Mus musculus: one gene and its partner. The protein of the gene in region 1 purifies or fractionates together with the protein of each later gene. This does not show direct contact. Links are inferred from orthologs where the notes say so. Each region holds a gene or a part of one and is shown in the gene's direction. Other genes may lie near its edges.

What was found. Proteins that work in one complex are often made in the same cells at the same time.
Region 2: the proteins of Asf1a (region 1) and Hat1 purify together in Homo sapiens (affinity purification with mass spectrometry; 4 studies listed by BioGRID and IntAct, counting the BioPlex papers as one, with this or other methods). This does not show direct contact. The link is inferred for Mus musculus from reciprocal best matches to the Homo sapiens genes ASF1A and HAT1.

Annotation. Positions count from the first base shown.
Region 1 is NC_000076.6:53,595,388-53,599,137, forward strand, and holds the start of Asf1a (histone chaperone ASF1A), read left to right. Parts: upstream 1-1,573; 5' UTR 1,574-1,802; coding exon 1,803-1,911; exon of another isoform or gene 1,912-3,750. UniProt on the Homo sapiens protein: Histone chaperone that facilitates histone deposition and histone exchange and removal during nucleosome assembly and disassembly.
Region 2 is NC_000068.7:71,437,750-71,441,399, forward strand, and holds part of Hat1 (histone acetyltransferase type B catalytic subunit), read left to right. Parts: intron 1-946; coding exon 947-1,063; intron 1,064-3,418; coding exon 3,419-3,586; 3' UTR 3,587-3,650. UniProt on the Homo sapiens protein: Histone acetyltransferase that plays a role in different biological processes including cell cycle progression, glucose metabolism, histone production or DNA damage repair. Coordinates histone production and acetylation via H4 promoter binding.

The DNA of each region.
Region 1 (3,750 bases):
TGTAAAACTAGGGTTAATAAGAGCTACGTGTATTATTTACCAGCCATGGTCATCTTGCCTACTACCACAGTGTGACTTTTACTCTGATGCACAAAAACAATGGTGACTGAACTGATGGACACCGATTGCCCAGCGTACTGACAATAAAAGTGGCTCTCTCCCCACTTTAATCTCCTTAAACATGGAAGGCCCTGCTTCATGATAACTAAAGGTCTTCGGACAAGGACAGATCATCCACAGCAATCCAGTTGAGTCTCAACCTGTCCAAGGAAGATTAATTAAATTCTGCACACTAGCAGAAACTTCACTTGCAGATTAATACTAAGACATAATTTTCACTCCGGATTTTATTGAATAGTTTAGTAGTTTCATTTATAAGGAAAAAGAAAAGAACCCAATGGTTTATGAGTAACACCTCCACAGTAAAAAGAATCAGTTCACATTCACAAAGGTGTTAGGTTTCCGTTTCCTGTTTCCTAGTCTACCCACAGTGGCTAAGTACCATAAACAAGCAACTTTTCCTCCAGTCAGCCTTGAAATGGTCTCACAGGCGTCACAGGCATGGAAGGTCTCCTCAGAATTGGTGTGCTGCACTTTTTCACTTATGAATGTTTGTTATAAATGCCTTGAAGAGCAAATGGCATGTTATCTGTGCTTTCTCCTTTCTCATATTCCACCAAAAATACATTTGTTGTCCTTTGGCCTTCAGACACTTCCATTTTCTCGACTTTTGACTTCTTTCTCTGTGCCCCCCCAACAACAGAAGCCTCGCTGTAACTGATCACGTTTTCCCCCTTTTATTTCTTTTTTTTTGTTTTGTTTTACATCTTTTCAGTTATTAAATGGGAAGAAATCCAACATGCAGCTGAAGATCGCATATTTTTTTTCTAGCCTGCGTGTGTGTGTGTAAAATCACCCCGCCCTCATTTTGTATCTATTTCACCGCACTGTCGTGGCCAAGAACTTGAATTCCAAAATGGCTTGCTCCTTTCGAGCTGACATGGGCTATAAAAATGCAATTTATTCCCACTGCAACCAGCCCTTCTCCCTATTCTCTACCATTACGATTGCGAGAAGCACAGACAGCTAGTTGGGCCTGACAAGGGCTGCAAAGCACACCTTATCTGCTAAATCCAGCAGAGCCAGCAAAGCCGCCGGCACTGGTGGGGGAAGCGTTAAAGGCTGGAAGAAAACCCGAAAAACCCCAAGGCCCATGCTGCGCACACACACGGGGCCGCCTCGCGCCCTCCTGCTTCCACCGCCGGCCCCGCCCACCCCACGGGTCCCGCCCCCTCCGTCCCGCCGCGGCCACGCCCGACGTGTGGCGCGGCCCCGCCGGGCGGGGGCGGGGCCTGCGTCGCCCCTCCCCCGCCGCCGGCGGCCTCCGCGCGGGCCTCCCAGCCCCTATTCCACTCACTTTGTTCTGCGCCTTTGTCCTGGTCCGCACCAGCAGGTGGAGCCGCAGTGAAAGTTTCCCGTCCGTTCTGCGAGCGGGAGCCCATCTTGCTCGCCGCCGCGGCCCTCGCTGGAGGAGGAGGGTCAGAGCTCGGGGGCAGCCAATCGCGGGCAACGCTGCTAGTTATCAGGGCAGAATGGGCTGTAGTTTAGTGAAATAGGAAAGCTGCAAAACACCGTGGAGTGCCGCCGTGTAAATAAAAAGGAAAAAAAAGTTTCTCAAGTCGCAGCTGCACGACGTCGGGCCGCGCCGCGCCGGGGCGGGGGTCTGCGCTCTCGGAGCGGCCGCGCGCGGGACTCGGTGGTGCCGCCAGCCCCGGCCCCATTGTTTGTGTTTTCTTCAAAATATGGCAAAGGTTCAGGTGAACAATGTAGTGGTGCTGGATAACCCGTCGCCTTTCTACAACCCGTTCCAGTTCGAGATCACCTTCGAGTGCATCGAGGACCTGTCTGAAGGTGAGCGAGTGGCGCCGGGCTGTCAGTTGCGGCGGCGGACGTTAAAGTTTCCCGGCCCGGCCTCGCGCGGGGTGGGCCGCGGCCGGCGGCCGGCGGGAGGGCGGCCATGCGAGGGAAACTTGAAGTTGAGGGACGCCGGCCGCGCCGCAACTTGCGAGCAACTTGCCGGGCGGAGGGAGCCATGTTGTCAGCTTTGTCTGCGGCGGGCGGCGCTCGGCGGCCCCCGGCTCGCGCGGCGCTGGCGGGGGGTCGTGCGGCCTCGGCGGCCCCAGGGCCCCACGGCCCGGTGGGGAGCAAGCTGGGCCGGTGGGAAGCGGAGCCATCTTACCCGGCGGCACGACGCCTGCTCCGGACCGCCGGGGGCGAGCGGGCCCGCGCCTTCCCGCCCGAGCCCCGCCGAGGCTGTCCTCGCGCCGCTCTCCGGCTCCCTCCACCAACCAGCGCGGAAGGCGGGCGCTGGGCTCGGCCCCTCGGCGCCTGGCTCCCGGGGGGCGGCCGTGCTCTCCGCGGGCGCCCGGGATGCTGTGCGCCGCCTCTCCCCGGGGACAGAGACCTCTCGGAGAGAAATGGTGAGGGGCTGGGAAGTTCCATGGCACCCTAGAGCAGAAGCAGGGTGCTTAACCAATTCCAGGCACTTCTCTGGCGTTTAGAAAGTCTGAAAGACTTTCTCCAGAACGTGTGAAGAAGAAGCAATTAAAATAACTCCACGTCCAAGCAGATGGAGAAAATGCAAACGTTAGCTGGGAGATAGAAGGCAAAATCCTTTCTGAAGTACATTTTACGGTTTAAAAAATGCGAAATAGTGAGGTAATACAGAACTTAGAAAGCTAAAATATGGCTTCTTAACGCTTTTCTTAGATTTTATTAAAATCAATGCTTCATTTTCAACATTTGAAACAAAAAGTTTAACTTCATTGGTGTTAAATTTTAGTTAACTAGGAGGACATCTTGGGACTTGAAAGTATTTCGACAAAATGCCTTGTATTATCCTAATCATGACGAAAAGAATTTCTCTTTTAATTTAAAAGTTTATAATCTCTTCAATGTACTTCATGTAGAATGTTAACTTTAATTATAAAAACCATTGCAATAAACCTTTAAAAATTGTAAAAAGGAAGTCACAGCCCCTTCTCTTCACTCCTTTGGCTAACCATCACTTAAAACGTACCCTGCTGTTTTTAATACGTATGTAAATTATAACGTGCATACATTTAGTGAGTGGGACATATTTTGAAGATTGACTAAACATTAAAATATAGTAGTCTCTGAATAGACTGTGATGATTAATGTAAGTGTAAGGGTGTTTTCCATTTGAAATGTAACAGCATTTCCACATCAGACCTATTTCCAACCCCAACACTGATTTTAATTTTCTTTTTCAAACTGCCAATTTATATACAAATGATCAAATATAAAGTAAGATCATGGCTGAGTCCATCCTAACTCAGTGCAGTGTTCGAGGCATTAGAAGTTCTTTACACTACAGGTGTTTCTCATATGATGGCTTCCATTTTAGGTCCACATTGTATGAGGAAGATAGGCTCTAGGATATTGTTACAGAGTCATTACACTGGATAGTTCGAAACCAGCCACCCACAGAAACCAAACAGGGTTCCATGTTAAACAGGGATCCTTTCACAACAGTGTTATTACTCAAGTCAAGAATATGCCTTCCTCTAGTACAATTCAAAACCAGCGCACCATTATTTTAAGGTATTTTAAGCTGAGTCATTCCAAAGCTGCAGAGGAACCCTTGACAAAGGTGCCATTCCTGTCTACTCCATCTAGAGGCTCTGTGGAGCAAGGAGATGGGCGTTGATTTACCCTGCAGAAGCTCGT
Region 2 (3,650 bases), on another chromosome or scaffold:
CCTTCAGAGTTCAGAGGCCATCAAATTCTCTGAAACTAGAATTATAGGTAGTTTTTTGCTCCCATGTGGGTGCTGGGAATTGATCATAGTTCTTCAAGAGTTATTTCCTCAGTCTCACAGCTTAGCTTTTTAATTGAATGTTTGTGCAAGCAATTGTTCTCTCCCTCCTCCCTCTCACCTCCATACTCCTTCCTCCTTCCCCCTCCCTCTCTGCCTCCACCCCTCTCTACTTTGGCCTAGGACTGCTGGGCTAGTGGTCCACCACTGAGCAGCTTCTAGTGGCTTAATTGATTTCTCATTTTTGCACCATTTGTATGCAGCTAAAAAAATTATTTACTTAGAGCAAAAATTTGTGCACATCACTTTTGCTCCTATTGAAAAACTTGATAGCGACTAGGTTGGAGGCTGGTTCTGTCAGTCCTCTTCTCCAGTGTCTTCCTTCTATTGCTTTTGTTTTAAAATGCTCCAGCAGTAACAAGCTGCTATGTTCTATGTGCACATGCAAAAATGTACAGGTAGTGCCTTCCTTCCCGTTTGTAGGATAATGTTTCTTCTTAGATTCAGCTTAGGCTGGGGATATAGCCAGACAGAACACTTGTCTAGGGTATGTTAGTCCTTGGGTTAGGTCTTGAGCTACACACAAGCATTAATGCGTGCAAAAGAGGGAGAGAGACTGAGTGAGAGCAGATTTTACTTTTCATTCTCACAAGAATCCTCTTCAGCCATTTCTCAGTCCCAAGCTATCTAACATCGTGTCCTATAACACTTCGGTCACTTGTTACTATCTTCGAGGCTACTAATTTCTTGAGAGCAGAGACTATCTTTTATTTTTTCCTCCGCTGGTTTTCATAATTCTTTGTCTATTAACAGATAAATTATGTGTTCTTTTAGAAAAACTTGTTTCATAACATGAAAGTATTCACATTTTTTTGTTTCATTTGTTTAGCAACATGCTAGAAGGGTTTATGAAATTCTTCGACTGCTGGTGACTGACATGAGCGATGCTGAGCAATACAGAAGCTACAGACTGGATATTAAAAGAAGACTAATTAGCCCTTACAAGGTCAGACTTTGAGACGCTTTTGGTACCCGAGTGTGCGTGTGACTTGGAAAATTGAGTGTATTTATGAGTCACAGCATGTGTGTGTGTGTGTGTGTGTGTACTACATGCATGCCTGGTGTCAGTAGGGACAAGAATAGGGCATCACCCGGAACTGGAGTTACAGGCAGTTGAGAGCTGCCATGTGGCTGCTAAGTACTGAATCTGAGTCTTCTGGAAGAGCAAGTGCTTTTTGCCACCGATAATCTCTCCATACCGATTTCTTTATATGTGTATGTGTTGGAGGAATATGAACAACATGATTGCAGATGCCTACAGAGGCTAGAAGTGCAGTGCTGGGTCTCCTGAACAGTAGTTAACAGAAGATTGTAGGCTGCTCACATGGGGTCTGGTCCTCAATAGCATCCAGTGCTTTTAACTACTGAGCCATCCCTCCAGGCTTTTAACCATTTTGTTCTTTGGCTATATTATATTCACTGTTTAAGAAAGGAAAGCTAGGACTGGAAAGGAAAGATATAATATAAAACTACATAAATAATATATAATAACATAAATATAATAAAATATATAAGTATATATAATTATATATATCCTTTAAAAATCTGAATGCCCAGATACATCCTTAGTTTATCTTACATTGCTTGTTCAATTTGTCAGATATTTTTGCATGTATTTTCCTCAAAATCTATTTAGAAGGTTTTTTTTAAACACATTCTTTAAAACCTTAATTTGTACAGGATAGGAAATGGTTCATTCGGTAGAGCCGTGCAAGCATGATTAATTTCAGAACTCATGAAAAAATGTTAGTGTGGTTCTATGTGCTTAATATTAGAAGAGCGTAGGGATCTGGAGACAAGATCCCTATGACTTGCCAGCTGACCTTTGTAGTTTAATTAGTGAGCTCTAGGCTAGTGAGAGACTTGTCTCAAAGGAAGTGGACAGCATTTCTAAGGAGGATGGCCCATGTTATCCTTGGGCATCCTTGAATACAAATACTCACATAGACACACACTTCATAACCAGAGAGAGAAGCAAAGCTGGGTGGTGGTGCACACCTTTAATGCCAGCACTCGGGAGGTGGGGATAGGCAGAGCTCTGTGAGATGGGGGCCAGCCTCATCTACAGAGCAAGTTCTAGGACAGCCAGGGCTATAAAGAGGTGGCACGTACCTATGATTTCAGCACTTAAGAAGTAGAGGCAGTGTGGGTCAAGAGTTCAGAGTCTGGTTGGGGGTGTAGCTCAGTTAGTAGAGTGCATGCCTAGCATGCAGCACTTCATAGCTTGTGAGCAGTGCTGCATACTTAACAATCTAAGCACTCAAGTAGAAACAGGAGGTTGGAAATTCTGAAACTTTGTCTCAAAACCTTAATTTGTGAAACATATATATATATATATATATATATATATATATATATATATATATATATATACACACACATATATACACACACACACATACATACATTTACAATGTAGAATACATGGTTTAAAGAATATTAAAATGCTGTTTTTAATAATTTTAGTATATTTTAAAATATTAAAGGGCAGTTTGATTTGAGCATCAAATTCGTTGTGTTTGTGTGAGATTTTGGGAGGTGAGATAAAATCTTGTTTATCTCTAAGTCGAGCAAGGTGATGTGTGCCTTTAATCCCAGCTCACGGAAGGAGGCTGAGGCAGGTGGTAGATAGCAGTTCCAGCCAACAGAGTTCTTACGTACCTTCAACTTCAGCCAAACAGAGCCTGTCTCAGTTGGGTGGGTGGATGGTTTATACATACTTACCTCTGGTACTTTATTCCACTTTGTCTTAGAATGTATGATTATAGATTTAAAGTAATGAGTATTGCACATTTGCCTGGTAGTCAGAAATTATAAATGGGTTCTTTTTAAGGAACATTTATTAGTTCTAGAATGGGCTTAATGTAGTTTGAGTTGTTCTACTGCCTTTTGAAAGACTAAACAAACTTAACAGTTCAGAATTCCAACCAGACTGTTAGTCTGAGATTGGATCTTAGCTTCTTAGCTCACTGTCTCTTGAATTTCTCCAAGTCCCAGAACTCACTCTGTAGACCAGAACTCAGAGATCTGCCTGCCTCTGCATCCTGGGATTAAAGGCATGTGCCACCACTGCCTGGCGTCACTAATATTCTTAATTAATTTGTTTTATGTATATGTGTCTGGGTTTATGAACTAGAGCTGAGCTGGCATGGGTGCTCTTGAACCCAGGCCCTCCTCTAAGCACGGTTAGTGCTTTTAACTACTGAACCATTTCTAGCCCCTACTACTTAAAGATTTCAATTGTAGCTATATGAGCAAATGCTTTTTTTTTTCCATCTAAAAATAATTGCTTCCTACTTAGAAAAAGCAGAGGGATCTTGCCAAGATGAAGAAATGCCTGAGACCAGAAGAGCTGACAAATCAGATGAACCAGATAGAAATAAGTGTGCAGCATGAGCAGCTGGAAGAGAGATTTCAGGAGCTGGTGGAGGACTACCGGCGTGTCATTGAGCGACTTGCTCAAGAGTGAAGCCCTTGTTCCCCAGAATACCTGCAGATTTCTGTGCATCGTGCTGTGAACCTCTGATGACCCT